Linked DNA regions of Arabidopsis thaliana. The protein of the gene in region 1 interacts with the protein of each later gene in a pairwise test. Each region holds a gene or a part of one and is shown on either strand. Other genes may lie near its edges.

Region 1 (7,520 bases):
TGTAGATTACTATTTAGAATTCAAACTTTACAAAACCAAGATTCACAATATGTTTACCTGAACATTTGCAGATTCTTGATTAACAACATTGTAGAGTAAGTGTCTATAAGCCTTTGTTTTGTGAAGAATCAAGTCGATGAAAATAATCTGATGATTATCAAAACACACAAAAAAATCAAAACTTGATGAACACAAAAGCATAAAAATTGAAACTTGAAAATAGAGAGACATATAGATATAGACCAATAGCTCACACTCGACATATTCGTCTGCTACTTCTTCGCAATTCTCCTACCAAAAATTGAACATCAAAAAAAGCTTTAAACTTTGGGGAGATTACAAGTAGAGATTAAGAACCCTAATTAGTTTTGGTAAAAGCTTACGCATTTCATGAGACGAAAATTTCCAGGAGAGTATTGTATGAACAAAGATTTAACCTTGTGCCCACACTCTACACACGTCTTCTTCTCTCTCGCCATCTCTCTGTGTCTGTGACTGTTGTCTCTCTCCTTCTCGATCGGATCCTTTATTCGGGTTATAACTTGGGCCATAATGGGCCTTTATTTGAACCTTCTTCTGGGCCTCTATTGACTATCGTTGTAATTAATACAAGAAATTGCATTCAGATTATAATATTTTGGGAACTTTAATCCAAGTCACTGTGACTTTAAAAATGAAATTAGGAATTCGTAAGTTTGATGGTATTACATTAGTTTAGTCTATTAGGTTTCAGCTTTGTTTTTGTTGTTTTTGGCTTAATTTTAACTAAAACTCAAAGATAATGCAGATAATGAAATCAAAACTAGAGTTCAAATTTTCAATTTTTGTTGTATTGAATAAATATTCTCACCAATCTTTACTTCAATAAAAATATATTTATTTAATAACACTAGGAAGAAACTCGACTGTTACATCAAGGTGAAAAAGAAGAACAATGGAAACCAAACAAGAGTAAATCAAATCTTAATTAACCAACCAAAAACGGAAGTAGCATATGCTTGACTAGTTGATATAGACGTTTAGTGATGATGGTGTCTGAAAGAGTCTAACCACCTTGTGAGACATTCTAAAGGTGACAACTTTAGAACATTGAGTGTTGGTCCGACCACGACTTGGAGCTTAATCCCACCTGGCTTTGAGCTAATGAATAATGGATTCATGGTTTGGTGAGCTTGATGAGATCGTGGCGTGTCTTGTGCACGGCTATTGGAGAATTCGGGTCACAGTATTAGAATTCAAGGTCACCGCTGATCTAGTAGACATAGTTGAATTCATTGTTGTATTCGAAAAGGAGACGGTCTCCAACGTGGAACTGTTTCTCTTTACTCCAGTTGTAATAGATATCACTATCGTAAACGCTCCAGCTTTTGGAGTCACTAACCTTGTAGATATTTTGGATATCTATTTTTCGTTATGATGGAACAATATATATCTCTTAAATATGAAGTTGTTTTCAAATTTAGGTGTTATTTTTTCTTTTCTTTATTTAAATGCAGTTTCTCTTCTTTACCTAGAAAACACAGTTAGCAACAAAAAATCCAATAGAAATTAATTATTGGATTCTATATATGACAAACTAATTATTTCAATTTCGTTTAAATATGGCACATCCAATAGAAATAAAAATCCAAACAAGTCACGTACGGATGTACGGACGAACGGTTGTGAGCTATGAACAAAACAAGAAACAAACGAAAGTAAATGAAAATAAATAGTAGAAATTTTGTTTTTGGGATAAAGTAAAAAATGAAAGAACATATCATACCTTTCATATTTCTTTTTTCAAAATTATCATTATAAACTGAAATTGTCCTTCCATAGCTTCTCTTTTTTGTTCTCTGTCCATAACCTACAAATCTCTTTAAACCAACCCAAGACAATAGTAACCAAACAAACTAAAATTGGACCATTGGTAGGGAAAGAGAGAGCGACACTTTTGAAACTGCCCATTAGCTTAGAATGTACCATGAAACTTTGTCAGCTTAGCTACAGATAGGCACAGAGAGTACAATTCATAAAATTTTATAAGCTTTTTTCTCCTTCCCAAGAGTATACATCTCAAACTAGAACCAAAACAAAGTTAGGATACAGAGATGAACACTTTTGATTTATGGATCGTTGTAAGCATTTAATTTGACAATATGAGTAACTATAGTTAAAAACTCAAGATTATATGAAAATTAAATGATTATTTATATTATTTATAAGCTTAATTTAACATTGAAAGATGGGGGTTTTCTATTCAACATGGTAATTAGGGCTCAAGGATCAACATGTTGAAACAAAAACTCTTAATTAAACCAATATATAGATATAAGCCCGGTTAATTTCCCACTACATATTCCCCAATTGCCAAATGATCTAATGAGTTGAAAGTTGGAACTAACTCTTAAAAGAAAATGGTGAATAAATTACTCCTTAGTTCTTATTTTATTCTATCTTCAAAGCTCTAAAGATTTCCCTTTCCTCTTATATTCTTCATCATCACTTAGCTGCATAGCCGAAGAAGACGATGCCATTTCGCCACGTGGCGACCTCCAAAATGATTGATCATCGTCTCTGATCACAACCGGAGACGAGGAAGAGTACCCTGCTACTCCCATTTCGCCACGTGTATCCCCTGAAGATGAAGACTCTTCCACGTCAACCCCAAACAGCCTCAGCTTCTTCGTCGTCGACGGCTGAGGAGGCGCCGACGGAGGTACCCTCCCCGCTGGAAAAACTGGAACCGAGTCATAAACCAACGGCTCAGATCGACCAAGATTCCACTGATGATGTTGATCCAACGGTGATCCTGCGTAGTAACGCACTCCATTACCATTAACAACTCTACCATAACCATACCCTAAATATTCCCGTTCTTGAAATTGGTTCTGATAAAACGGTGGAAAACTCCGGTATGGCATGGAATATTCCGGCGTCACCGGATAAAACCTAGCCGTTGGATATGTCGGAGACCCGAAAACGAAGTTATGATTGTTAATGTTGTGTACGAAGTTTATCTCGGCTCTAGGCCTCCAATCGATGAACATTATTTTCCGTCGTCTCTCCGGTTGTGCGTTATCGTCAGGGATGTAGCCACGGTAGAAAGAGACGGTGTCTCCGGCGAAGAGTTTCTTCTCCTTGACGAAACGGCTCCATCCTTTGGTCATCACGTAGCTTTGGCTACTGTTCCAATACGAGTAACGAAACCTCCACATCTTGCCGTTTTTGTCTTGGAAATCCAACACTGTGCCGTTTTGATTGTCCTCTAAAGGGAAGAAGTTCTCTGCATGTTGCTTTGGAATCACGAGCCGGTTTAGTTTACCGACGTCACTTGGTGTCAACACTTTGTCGAACATGTGCTCTCTCCTCTCCGAGCTGTAGAAGTAATTGGTGTGGTCGGAACTGCTAGCTCTGATCTCGGCGAGTTCTTGGTCAAGATTCATTGTTGAGATATTCATCAAAAGTATCAAGCTGTTTATATATGGGGTCTTGAGAAGATTGATGACCCAATTTCAAGATCTTTCAAAAGTATCCAACTTATAGGTTCTTGAAAAGAAGATGGACCAATTCAAGATCTTTCAAAAAGTATTCAACTTTATTTTTATGGATCTGAATGAGTGATTCTTGACAAGATCCAATACAAAATCCTTCAACATACATGAAATAATTTTATTAGAAATCAAATAAAAATCATCACCCCAATACTAAGGAAAAAAAGTAATACTTCAATCAAATAATTAAAAGTAAATGGAAGATGAAGTGAAGAACAAGAAGAAGAAAAAAAGCTATAACCAAAAAAACAAAAAGTGAAAAAGAAAACCCTAAATCCAGAAGAAGAAGACAGACGTACTCTTTCACTCTTTGTGTTTGCTTCTTCTTCTGATCTTTTCGTTGACTCCAAAAGAGAAATAAATGAAAATGAAATCAATGGTTTGGAGTTAAAAAAAAAAAAGGTTCTCTCTCTATCTTTCTCTCTAGATGACTTTAAGGGGTGAAGAAATATAGTGGCTTGAGAGAGATTTCCTCGATGATGGAGATGAAGATCAAATATTAGAGAAGAGTAAAGGGGCCCATGAATGGTGTGGTTCGGGTCATGTGAGAGCTTCTTGTCCTTTTCAATTAGCTATAGACTTGGGGTAACTCTAGCTATTTATATAGATATACAAATATATACATACATGTATTGTGTCAATCTTTTGTGAGACTATTTCCTTTTATTTTGATATCTGTATTTTTATTTTCATCTTTATTCATACCAGATCTTTTGTATTTATTATTTTCTGTTTGTTAGTTTCTTCTAATTAGTTCTTTACTTATTTTTAGCTAATTATATTAAATCATCATATATTATAACTAATTTGTGTATACCGAAGATAGAAAACCACACAAAAGTACAACATGAAGATTTATATTAACTATAACTAGATATGGCTCCACACATATGCTTACACGTGTTATTTCTGTATCAAAAAATGTAAAAAGACATGACCAAATTAAGAAAATAGGTTACATGATAGGAAGTTATATTAAATTATATTAGACCATGAAAAAATGTTTGTCAGTTTCTTCTATCTAGTTATTTTTAGCTAATTATATTAAATCATCATATATTATAACTAATCTGTGTATACCAAAGATAGGAAACCACACAAAAGTACAATATGAAGATTTAAATTAACTATAACTAGATACGGCTCCACACATATGCTTACAAGTGGAACTAGCTAATTTTAGTATCTATATATGTATATAAAAAATGTAAAAAGACCATGAACAAATTAAAAAAATAGATTACAAGATTGACACTAGACCAAATAAATAACTTTTTAATCTATACATGTAAGAAAATCATTAAAAAAAAATAATATTAGGTTTCTAGATAGACATTAGACCAGCTATATTATTAGTAAAGAAAATTATTAAATTAATCTATAATATAATATTAATCTGAAAGTTATGGAAATATTACTTTTAATAAATTTAAAATTTAAAATATTTTTTCTCTATTTTAAAAATATAAACACTAAAACATATTCATTTTATGTAAAATTATAATGAGACACTGTAAATTCTAATGAATATCTTAGTTTTTTTAGGTTTTTCCTAAGAATGCTGAAAAAAATAAAAATTCATTTAAACTTTTTAGAAATGGTCTTATAAGAAGGTTTAAGAATTTCTTATAAGACCAATTAGTAATTTCTTATAAGACCATTTCTGAAAGTTTAAGAATTTTACTTTGGTCTTTTGGATTTTTATTTATAAGAATTTATTTACTTTGGTATTTACCATTGATTTAATTCTTAAACATTTTCACAATGCTTTCTTAATACCAAAATAAAACTCTTAAACGTTTTCACCTGAAATTGTTAAATCAATGGGAGAAAAGGTTCGAAACATTTCTACAATGTTTCTTAAAACAAAATAAAGGTATTTTGTAAATTTTTATAACTGTGATAATTTTAAATTATAAATCTTAATTATTCAAGATTTTTTCAATTACTTACTAGTAAATATTTTTCAGGGGATAACCACATTTGTTGTCTAGGCGATAAGCAATAAAATCTTCTAGATATTTTAAATATAATATTTATTTGTTTTTGGTAATTGGTTTAGTATCTCCAATTTTAACAACTGGATATCAATCTCTCTCTTTTTTTTTTTTGAAACCACACCAAGTGGATTTCAATCTAATATCTCAATTAAAACTATATCTGTATACTTGTCTTAATTTGTCAAAATGTAAACACGTGTTAACTTCTTACAGATTTTATTTCATCATCTTAATTAGTTAACTCATATGGTTATGAAATAATGTATTCTTCTGACCCTTTTTTTTTGTTAAATCTTCTGACATTTTCCGTAATTAGATTTCACCTGTCAGAACTTAGCAAATCACATGGATTATCATTTATGTAAGAAAATCATAACAAATTTTGTCCAATTTGTCTGATTATGATTTTTACAAAACTCAAGTGGAAAGTAGCTCTGGTTTTCTATGTGTGTCCATGTTTTGTGGTACCCAACATTATATGCATCAACATCAAATAACAATAACGCATTTTGAATTATATATACAAGTCAATCCTTTTGTCCAAAAAAAAATATATACAAGTCAATCCATGTATGACTTTATGATTTTAAGAAATCTAGGAATGCATATGTATTTGTTGTCAATTTAACTTTCGGGTATTAGCTTTTGTTAACATGTTATAATAGAATACTTTTTCTTTGTTTGCATGTAAATTATTTCACTATGTGGTGTTTTTCTGTGTCCGACCGTGTTGCAATATAAATTACGGTAGCACACGTTATTATTATTATTTTTTTTTTGGACAAAATTTAAATTCAAATAACCACTAAACCGGGTCCAGTACAATCGTTTTAAGAGAACACTTAGCAATCTCATCAGCTTCGCCATTGTGTTTCCGAGAGATGAAAGAAAAACTAGATTGCAGAAAAGTAGAAGATAAACTCAGGATATCGTGTAGAATCCCGTGGAGTTCCAATGGAGGATCCCCCAAATTGATTGCGTTGATCAACTGCTTGGAATCGGACGCTATTACAATGTTTTGGATACCCAAAGTCGATGCATGGCAGAGAGCTTCGTGGATGGCGAGAGCTTCCGCTAAAAGAGGTGATCGAACATTCCTTCTTGAATTAGATCCAATCCTACTTGTTTCAGTGATGGTGGGATTGAAAATCCATCCTAAACCAACCAATTTATGTTCTTTGTTCCAGGCAGCGTCGGTTTGGCAGATACTAGTGTTGTTTGAGATTGAAATGATTTTCCCTAGGGTTTGCTGCAGAGGTCGGATATGGGTTGTATTCTGAGCTAAAAGCCACTCTCGTGCTAGACTGATTGCTCGAGCCAGAGTTTCAGAGGGGGAGCTGAGGCGATCCTTGAAGATTAAGTGGTTCCTAGAAAGCCAGATCGACCAGAGAATCCACGGTAGGAGAGGTCCCGTTCCTACGCCAATTGGTGGGAGGCAAACGCTCAGATTAACTTTCTTAATTAGATCCCTAAAGGACACAGTGGTATTGGGATCCAAGGGCTGTTTAAAAGGCGCGTTTTGCCAGATTTCTGTAGCAAAACGACAGGTGAAGAACAGGTGGAAAGATGACTCCTCCTCTCCGCAGAAAGGGCATCTCGCTTCTTCATTGATCTGTCTAAGGCGCAGGTTTTCTCCGACTGGTAAGGATCCTCTCATAGCTTTCCACATGAAAAATTTCATCTTTGGTGAAGTGTTAATTTTCCAAATTTCTTTGGTCCACTTGAAATCAGTCACCGGAGACACATGTTGGGGACTTAATGGAATTGAACTTATGCTTTCATAGTAGCCGGAGCGTGCTGAGTATGCCCCATTCTTTGCAGGGAGCCACGCATAAGAGTCCTCTGCTCCAAGCTTACTTAGATGGATCTCAAGGATTTCTATTTCAAATTCTGGGATGGTTTGCTAAATTAGACCTCTGTCCCACTCAAGTGTTGTAGGAGAAATGAGCTGCGATACTGTCCACTTGTGTGATGATGCAGGAGG
Region 2 (8,883 bases), about 12 Mb from region 1:
AGAGTTCTTCGACAAATACAAGGTCTGTTCCTTTTATTCTTGGTTTGCTCAGGTTTGAGACATTTTGGCACAAACCTTCCTTATGTTAGATTGAGTTCATTTGTTTTAGGTTGGAGAGCTAACGGGGCTACTCACGTCTGATCTTGGTGCTCTGAATAGCATTGTGAATGATAACATCTCACGAGATCGTGGATTTAGGGCATTTACAGAGGCAAGCCATTTCTTTACTATGCAAATGTGAGATTTTTGTGTTTGTACATACATTTTTCATAATGAATACAGATTTAATCTTAGCCTGGTGTTGGTGTCTGCTGTTATTTTTGGAGTTCTATAAATGACAAAGACTATCCTGTTGCATCTCAAGAATGCCCAGTTCTCATGGCTTATGCGTTATCCCTTTTGTAGGTTTTTGGAACAATATGTATCCTATTTACTCTATCTCCTCAACTTGCACCTGTACTTGGTCTATTGATGCTAGCTGTGTCAGTTCTAGTTGGTAAATTCTCTATGTCTTTTTCATTCTCCTAAACTTTTTATTTTTGGTAATTACTTTGGTCATCTTTGCTTACTTTGCTTACCTCTACATCTACTCCCTCGGTCAAATCTCAAAAGCTGTGTACAAGAGATCGACTGTTCCTGTTTATAAATCGCATGGATTAGCTCAAGCAACAATGTCTGATTGTGTATCAGAAACGTTCTCTGCAATCCGAACTGTAAGTTCTTGACTTCATCGTATTTGTATCTTTTAGGGCAGATTAAATTATCTGAAGAAACTTTGATTTACCCTTGAAGACTCAAGTAATTTGTATCTCTTTATAGGTAAGATCATTCAGCGGCGAAAAACGTCAGATGTCTATCTTCGGTAGTCAGGTCATATTTCAGACTTCTTACTAGCTAAAACTGATTTCTTCTAAACAATTGTTCTTTTTTCTAACTGATCCATAATCTATTAATCTAAACTTTTGTTTGATGTACAGATTCTTGCTTACAAGCTTAGCGGCTTAAAGCTTGGTACTTTCAAGTCTATAAATGAATCTATAACAAGAGTTGCTGTTTATATTTCTCTGTTGGCTCTTTACTGTCTTGGGGGAAGCAAGGTGAAGACGGTAAGATATACCTGCCTGTAAGACTTGTTGATTGCCATTATGATCATTCAAGTTGAAATTATGCTTCTTGCCCCCTAAAACATAAAGAGAATCGTGTTTTTATGAATTTCTATTGCAGAAGATAGTGTTACTCGTTGTTTATACTTTCTGGAACAAATGACTGGATGTTTCTAGCTAGAATCAAGTTACTACCTTCTGAATTTTTAAATAAAAAAAAACTAAGAATCAAATTTCTCTGTATCTCTCTTTTGTGTAGTTTCTTATGTTGTTACATTTTAGCTCTTTTGCACTTTATTTTTCTTGGTTCTTATTCTTAAAATTTCTCCAACCCAGGGTGAGCTCGCTGTTGGAACAGTTGTTTCGTTCATTGGATACACATTCACTCTAACATTTGCTGTAAGTACCTCTGTCTACACATCATTTACTGTCACACATATGCTATACATGTAATTTAGTTTACCATAACCAGTGATTCTGTTATCCAGGTCCAAGGGCTTGTAAACACGTTTGGAGATCTACGTGGGACTTTTGCTGCTATTGACAGGATCAATTCCATTTTAAACGCGGTGGACATAGATGAGGCTCTTGCCTACGGGTTAGAAAGAGATATACATACAAAGAAAGTCCAAGATGAAAACCTTAAATTGTTCTTGTCTGCTGGCCCAAATGTGAATATCCGTCACCTCGATAAGTACTACATGTCAAATCTGAAATCAACTAACAATCTACGTACCCTAACATGGGCTGGAGATGTCTGTCTTGATGGTAAAATCAGACCAAGAAAAACTCTCTTCATCATATCTTACTACAGCTTTTTACCTTTTTCATATCTGTTTTTCTTTTCCATGTTCTATTTTGTCTAGTGTAGATGTGCATTTTGCTTATCCTCTACGACCCGACGTGAAAGTTCTTGATGGGCTGAGTTTGACGTTGAATTCTGGTACTGTAACTGCTCTTGTTGGCTCTAGTGGTGCGGGAAAAAGTACTATTGTACAGTTATTGGCACGCTTCTATGAGGTTAATCTACCCTCCTCTTCCAATTTGAAGTTTAATATCTGTTGAGACTATGTTTACTGCCACTTTTACATTATGCTGATATGTTGAATTTTCAATTCTTGCAGCCAACACAAGGACGTATTACTGTGGGTGGAGAAGATGTGAGGATGTTTGACAAGAGTGAATGGGCTAAGGTTGTCTCAATTGTGAATCAGGTGTGTATACGTAACATCTATGTGTCAGGCATGGTTGGATCATTTCTTCTCTTCTTCTTCAAAGGTTATCTTTCTGTGTGATTCAGGAACCGGTTCTCTTTTCTCTCTCCGTGGCCGAGAATATTGCATATGGTCTCCCCAATGAGCATGTGTCCAAGGACGACATCATTAAGGCAGCCAAAGCTGCCAACGCTCATGATTTTATAATCTCACTTCCTCAGGTTCAGATTCGTGTGCCTTATACTTTCCTGTTTCTTCCTGGCAATTGCACATCAATTCTTGTGAGCAATACCGGTGTTTGTTTATAGGGATACGATACACTGGTTGGTGAAAGAGGAGGCTTGCTTAGCGGAGGACAACGACAGGTATAGAAACATTATGAGCTACATGTTTTTGATTTCTGATAGACTTTTGCAACTGCTTTGATGTGCTTGTTTATCAATGTGTTAGAGAGTTGCCATAGCCCGATCTCTGCTGAAGAATGCCCCCATCTTGATTCTCGATGAGGTGAGAGACTCTTATTTTAATAATCTCGCCTTTGATGAACTGTCTGCTTTGCTAGAACCTTTACCTAAGTAATAGCATATCAAACAAGAACACAAACAGTTAGTATGAGACATCTCTGCTTAGTCTCTCTCTTGCTTACTTTGTTGCAGGCCACAAGTGCGCTGGATGCAGTGAGCGAGCGGTTAGTCCAGAGTGCGTTGAACCGTCTGATGAAAGACAGGACAACATTAGTCATCGCTCACAGACTGAGCACAGTTCAGAGCGCGAATCAGATCGCTGTGTGCTCTGATGGGAAGATCATAGAGCTTGGAACACATTCCGAATTGGTAGCGCAAAAGGGATCATATGCTTCACTTGTTGGCACTCAGAGACTAGCCTTTGAGTAATTTACCTTAACTCGGTGTAATTTGTAACAAATTACTACAAAATTACAAATGGTAGAATCTGGTTTTATATACAACTTTGATTAACAATAGTTTATAGACAGATCAAATTTTCAAAAATTTATAGTAAAACAAGAAGAAATTAAACGACCATTGATGTGAAGCTGACGTGGAGGGATCTTCACTTATGTTTTCTTCAAGAATGATCCGAAGATTAAAAAAAACCGAAGCCGCTTGACATCTTCTTCCAATTTTGATTTATCAAAGAAAACTCCTTTGTGAGAGATTATTTATGTACTCTTGATTCAGAGAGGTAAATTCTGTTAGGGGTTCGTTCGATTTTCGCGCTTGTTTTTGTTTACTTATGATCGGATTTGGTATTTTGAACAGTAATGATCCATTCGACGTTTACAGGATAATCCAATTCCGAGTTTTCTGAGTCGTAATTTAGAGAGAATCCAATTCGATGGATTTAGATATGAACGGAGGAAACAAGAGAGTCTTTCAAAGACTGGGCGGTGGCTCTAATCGGCCGACGACGGACTCAAATCAGAAGGTTTGTTTCCACTGGCGAGCTGGCCGGTGCAATCGTTACCCATGCCCTTACCTGCATAGAGAATTGCCGGGTCCGGGTTCGGGTCCAGTAGCAGCTTCTTCAAATAAAAGGGTCGCTGATGAATCTGGGTTTGCGGGTCCGAGTCACCGGAGAGGGCCTGGGTTCAGCGGGACTGCTAATAACTGGGGAAGATTTGGTGGGAACAGAACGGTGACCAAGACGGAGAAACTTTGCAAATTCTGGGTTGATGGAAATTGCCCTTATGGTGATAAATGTAGATACTTGCATTGCTGGAGCAAAGGAGATAGTTTCTCCTTGTTGACGCAGCTTGACGGGCATCAGAAGGTATCTTGTTGTTGAGTGTCCTTATAAGTGATGCTGGATTCTTGTGCTTGTTGGCGATGTTGATAGTTTTTTTTTTTTTTGGTTCTGATTTCTCGAGTAGGTTGTTACTGGGATTGCTCTGCCTTCAGGATCAGATAAGCTTTACACGGCGAGTAAAGATGAAACTGTGCGAATATGGGATTGTGCTTCTGGACAGGTTTTGATTTGCCTCTGATAATTATTTCTTTTATTGTTGTTTGATTGAGTTTCGCTCCATATTTAGTTTAGCTATTGAGTTTAAAACATCATTTTGATATGGCTGGTTGTTTGGACTACTTTATAGGCGTACTTCTCATTCTAGTATTTGTTTTTTTTTCTACGATGTAGTGTACAGGTGTACTCAATCTTGGTGGGGAAGTTGGCTGCATCATTAGTGAAGGTCCCTGGCTATTGGTTGGCATGCCAAATCTTGTTAAGGTAAGTTCAGAGTATGATTCATTTGCATGGTTCCTTGACTATTAAAACTCTTCATCTATACTGAGAATCACTTTTGTTGTCCTATGTGTTGAGGTTTATTGTTGTTACGGATATACATTTTTGAATTATATGCAGGCGTGGAATATCCAAAACAATGCAGACCTGAGCCTCAATGGACCTGTTGGCCAAGTATATTCATTGGTTGTGGGTACTGATCTATTGTTCGCTGGCACACAAGTAAATACTTTTACTGACTGTAAACTTCTTTTCTAAGGCCTTGGAGAGTTGGAGTAGAATTTTGCTTCAGCGTCATGTATATACTTAAAATCATTTTTTGTCTTGAATATCATTTCAAGTTTGCGTCATCTCTTGGAAAAACCACCTCTGCTATAGAAATCTACAGTTCTATTGGATTTTGATAAAAATTCTTCTGCAGGATGGCTCTATTTTGGTTTGGAGATACAATAGCACCACTAGCTGTTTTGATCCAGCTGCATCACTATTGGGTCACACGCTTGCAGTTGTCTCTTTATATGTTGGGGCAAACAGACTCTATTCTGGTGCCATGGACAATTCTATAAAAGTAAGTAGTGTGGCACTACTTAAAAAGTAGTCACCAGTGCCTATTATACCTAAATTAAAATCCCCTTTCTGTTTTTTTTTTGTTTAAGCTCATAGGCCTACCTTATCTGTTTTTAATAGGTTTGGAGCCTGGATAATCTGCAGTGTATTCAAACGCTTACAGAGCATACATCAGTTGTTATGTCTCTCATTTGCTGGGATCAGTTTCTTCTGTCATGTTCATTGGACAATACCGTCAAGGTTTGGTTCTAACTCGCTAGATAATTGGCTCGATTCCTGAATATGACATTACCCCCTGTTTTTTTTTTTTTTTTTTTTCCGTTGTAGATATGGGCTGCTACTGAAGGTGGAAACTTAGAAGTGACATATACTCACAAAGAAGAATACGTACAGTTCCTAGCATTTTTGTTGAAATATTACCCTTTCTCTTGATTCATTCTATATGTAACTAAGTTCTCAATGGCTATTTGGATATAGGGCGTGCTAGCTCTCTGTGGCGTCCATGATGCAGAAGCCAAGCCAGTATTGCTATGTTCGTGCAATGACAATTCGTTGCACCTCTATGATTTGCCATCGTAAGTCTTTCCAATGCTGTTTGTTTCATGAGTATACAATTATGTTTTACTTTCAAAAGCTTAGATTCTGTTCTTATGTAAGGTTTACGGAAAGGGGCAAAATTTTAGCTAAGCAAGAGATTCGGTCAATCCAGATAGGTCCCGGGGGCATATTTTTCACCGGTGATGGAAGTGGTCAAGTTAAAGTATGGAAGTGGTCTACTGAGTCGACCCCTATTTTGTCTTGAGGCGCAAAACAGAGCCCTAGTTCTTCACCTTTGTCAAATCTCTTCTTCTCGGAGTGTCAATAGTTCTTGTTTGTTTTGTTGTTCGAGAGATTGTAAGTAGCATCAAGGCATCTGTCTCTCTGGCTCCATTAAGTCTCTGCAGTTAAGACAGACGGCCGCAGAGAAGATTATGGACCACTGATTGTATCTACTATTATATTGATTTGATGTCAGAGCAGAGACATGGTCTGATCAGTTCCAGAGACGCGTATGGATCTGCCCACGTTGGTTGCAGACTTACTGTTCTTACTTCTTAGGCATAAGAAACTTTTGTCCCTCTTTGGTCAACATTCTTGTCATGTAATTTATGGCATAGATCTTTGTAGTCATGTTTCAGTGTAATAAAAGAGATGATTTATCATAAAGAGAATTTCTTACTGTATTCAAATTATGGTCAGGGTCGAATGTTGAAGAGAATGTCCACAATGATGGTATTAACAGAGTTTCCGAAGCATCTTATTAACCTTGATAGCATCACTTCCACGACCACGAGCACTGGGATTTTCCAACTTCCTCTAGAGAGAAACTGAGCCTGTGGGTATTGAGCGGTTTCACATCGATCTTCTGGCTTGCCACAGCAGTACGAGGCACAGATGCCAAATGTTCTTGTAGCTGCTAGGTACAGAGCCGAACGGGCATTGAAAGGTTGGCCTTTTCATTTGTGTGACCAAAGATTGTTGAATGTTTAACACTTTTACTCAAGATGAGACATGGGGATAGTTTACATTATTTATATAGTTCTGCTGGAAAATTAACAACAAGCCCGTCTAGCTCAGTTGGTAGAGCGCAAGGCTCTTAACCTTCTGGTCGTGGGTTCGAGCCCCACGGTGGGCGTGAAATTACATTTTATTTTTGTACCATGATGTCAGTAAGCCCATTCTCTAATGAATATGAAACTAAACGGAGTTATTTTGTCAAAATGGAAATTAGAGCATGCGACATGATCAAAAGTATTTCTAATTAGGGTTTGTGTTACGTATGGATTTCTTATTTTTGCGTTAAAGGTGACGTGTGGGACTACGTCACTCCACCGAAGGGCCTCGACGGGTTAATGTGAAGGCCATTATGAATTTATGATGGTTATGATTTGTGACCCACCCCACTAATGTACATTATTAGTAAATATCTAAATGTTTATATAACTACTTGACTTCTGCCATTGCCGCCTCGTGATTGTTCTCCTTTTGAAATCATTTGCTTCGTTGAAACCACACTCTCCTTTTACTTTATCTTCTCCTTTTCGTTGAATACTTGAAATCTTCCAATCTTCCTCCAAATTTTTTCAGAGTTTGAAGCATGTCAGACCAAGAGGCTCCTCTGCGTAATGGAGTAGAACACAAGATTTTCGAAGTACTTCCGTTTGTGGATGATGATTACGGTGGAGTCATCGTGGAGATGAAAACTCCTATGGATACTAAGAATTTCGTTGCAGCGCTTAGAGATTCATTCGAGCAGTGGCGCTTACAGGTTTGTGTTGGTGCGAGATCACATGCATCTCTGTCTTCTTGAGTGAGCGAGCGGTTGATTCTGTAAAACCTTTTTGTTTGTTTTTTGTTGTCAGGGTAAAAAGGGAGTCTGGTTGAACTTGCCTCTCTCACACGTAAACCTCGTGGAACCCGCGGTTAAGGTCACATATCAGATTAAATTTGATTCCTAAGTCTTGCATATTAACGTTACTTAATTATCATCTTTTGTTAATTAGATGTCATTGTCTTATCTATTGCTAATATTAGTATTAAGATGAATCTCTTTTGTACCATGGACATATTTTAGTTTTGTTTTTAAAAAGAAAATCTTTTTGGGTTTGACATATTTAGGTTAATGGGATGTATAGTTGATATACCAAGTTATAGCTGCATATCCCCATGTATTATTACATTGAGGGATGAACAAACTGGTCCCATAAATAATTTGTGCATGCAGGAAGGTTTCCGGTATCACCATGCTGAGCCAACTTACCTGATGCTAGTTTATTGGATTCCGGAAGCCGAGAGTACTATTCCTTTGAATGCTTCCCATCGTGTTCGTGTAGGTGCTGTTGTCTTGAACCATAACAAAGAGGTACTTAGGAGATAGGACACCATTATATTGTTTATTTTTGTATTTCCAAGTCATAATATTCTAATCATCCTAGAATGGTAAGGAAAATGTACTCCATATTCCAGCATTTGCATCTTAAAATTACAACTAGAGGCAGATTCTTGTGGTGCAGGAAAAATACGGTTCATTATGCGGATCAGGTATCTGGAAGATCCCAACAGGAGTTGTTGACGAGGTATGTGTTATCTGCATGTAGCAACAAGTTTTCAATCCCACTTTATATGTTTGCTGAAGATTTCATCTTTAATATTTTATTTTCTTGCGTCTAGGGTGAGGAGATTTTCGCCGCAGCCATTAGAGAAGTAAAAGAAGAAACAGGCGTAAGAAGATCCATATATCTTAATGTAAATCAGTCAACCATCAATATATATAACCTAACGTTTTCATACATTTATCTTCAGATCGACACTGAGTTTTTGGAGATTCTAGCTTTCTGGTACGGATCATCGTCATATCCTCTGCTAGTCTGCTTCATATATTGTTTCTTGATACTTTCACGTTCTTATCCTTTAAGCCTTCTGTTTGCAGCCAAACCCACGAGTCATTTTTTGCAAAGTCAGATTTATTCTTCGTTTGTCTCTTGAGACCTACCTCCTTCGATATTCAAAAACAGGACTTAGAGATCGAAGCAGCTCAAGTAAAGTAACATATACTTCTTATTCTGAATCTGAAACATTAATTCTCTCGCAATCTTTCCCGAATTTGTCGGTTCTTGAATGTGCAGTGGATGCGGTTCGAGGACTCTGCCTCTCAACCTATCACACACAAGAACGATCTCTTCAAAGATATTCACCAC

Evidence for each region. The genes of interacting proteins can lie anywhere in the genome.
Region 2: the proteins of NGA4 (region 1) and ZFWD1 interact in a two-hybrid assay, tested with the Arabidopsis thaliana proteins (one large-scale study listed by BioGRID).

What each region holds. Positions count from the first base shown.
Region 1 is NC_003075.7:635,714-643,233, reverse strand, and holds NGA4 (AP2/B3-like transcriptional factor family protein), read right to left. Parts: upstream 3,988-7,520; 5' UTR 3,836-3,987; intron 3,633-3,835; 5' UTR 3,444-3,632; coding exon 2,442-3,443; 3' UTR 2,258-2,441; downstream 1-2,257. Other genes in the region: ARV2 (Arv1-like protein), read right to left, coding at 58-291, 384-479. UniProt on the Arabidopsis thaliana protein: Regulates lateral organ growth. Functionally redundant with NGA1, NGA2 and NGA3.
Region 2 is NC_003075.7:13,004,172-13,013,054, reverse strand, and holds ZFWD1 (zinc finger WD40 repeat protein 1), read left to right. Parts: upstream 1-3,436; 5' UTR 3,437-3,520; exon of another isoform or gene 3,521-3,621; 5' UTR 3,622-3,673; coding exon 3,674-4,108; intron 4,109-4,208; coding exon 4,209-4,304; intron 4,305-4,474; coding exon 4,475-4,564; intron 4,565-4,699; coding exon 4,700-4,801; intron 4,802-5,000; coding exon 5,001-5,147; intron 5,148-5,266; coding exon 5,267-5,386; intron 5,387-5,473; coding exon 5,474-5,533; intron 5,534-5,623; coding exon 5,624-5,721; intron 5,722-5,803; coding exon 5,804-5,948; 3' UTR 5,949-6,365; downstream 6,366-8,883. Other genes in the region: ABCB28 (non-intrinsic ABC protein 8), read left to right, coding at 1-22, 110-211, 406-496, 613-713, 820-870, 978-1,106, 1,440-1,502, 1,592-1,871 and 6 more; NUDT10 (nudix hydrolase homolog 10), read left to right, coding at 7,284-7,454, 7,549-7,614, 7,911-8,048, 8,185-8,262, 8,357-8,523, 8,616-8,724, 8,812-8,883.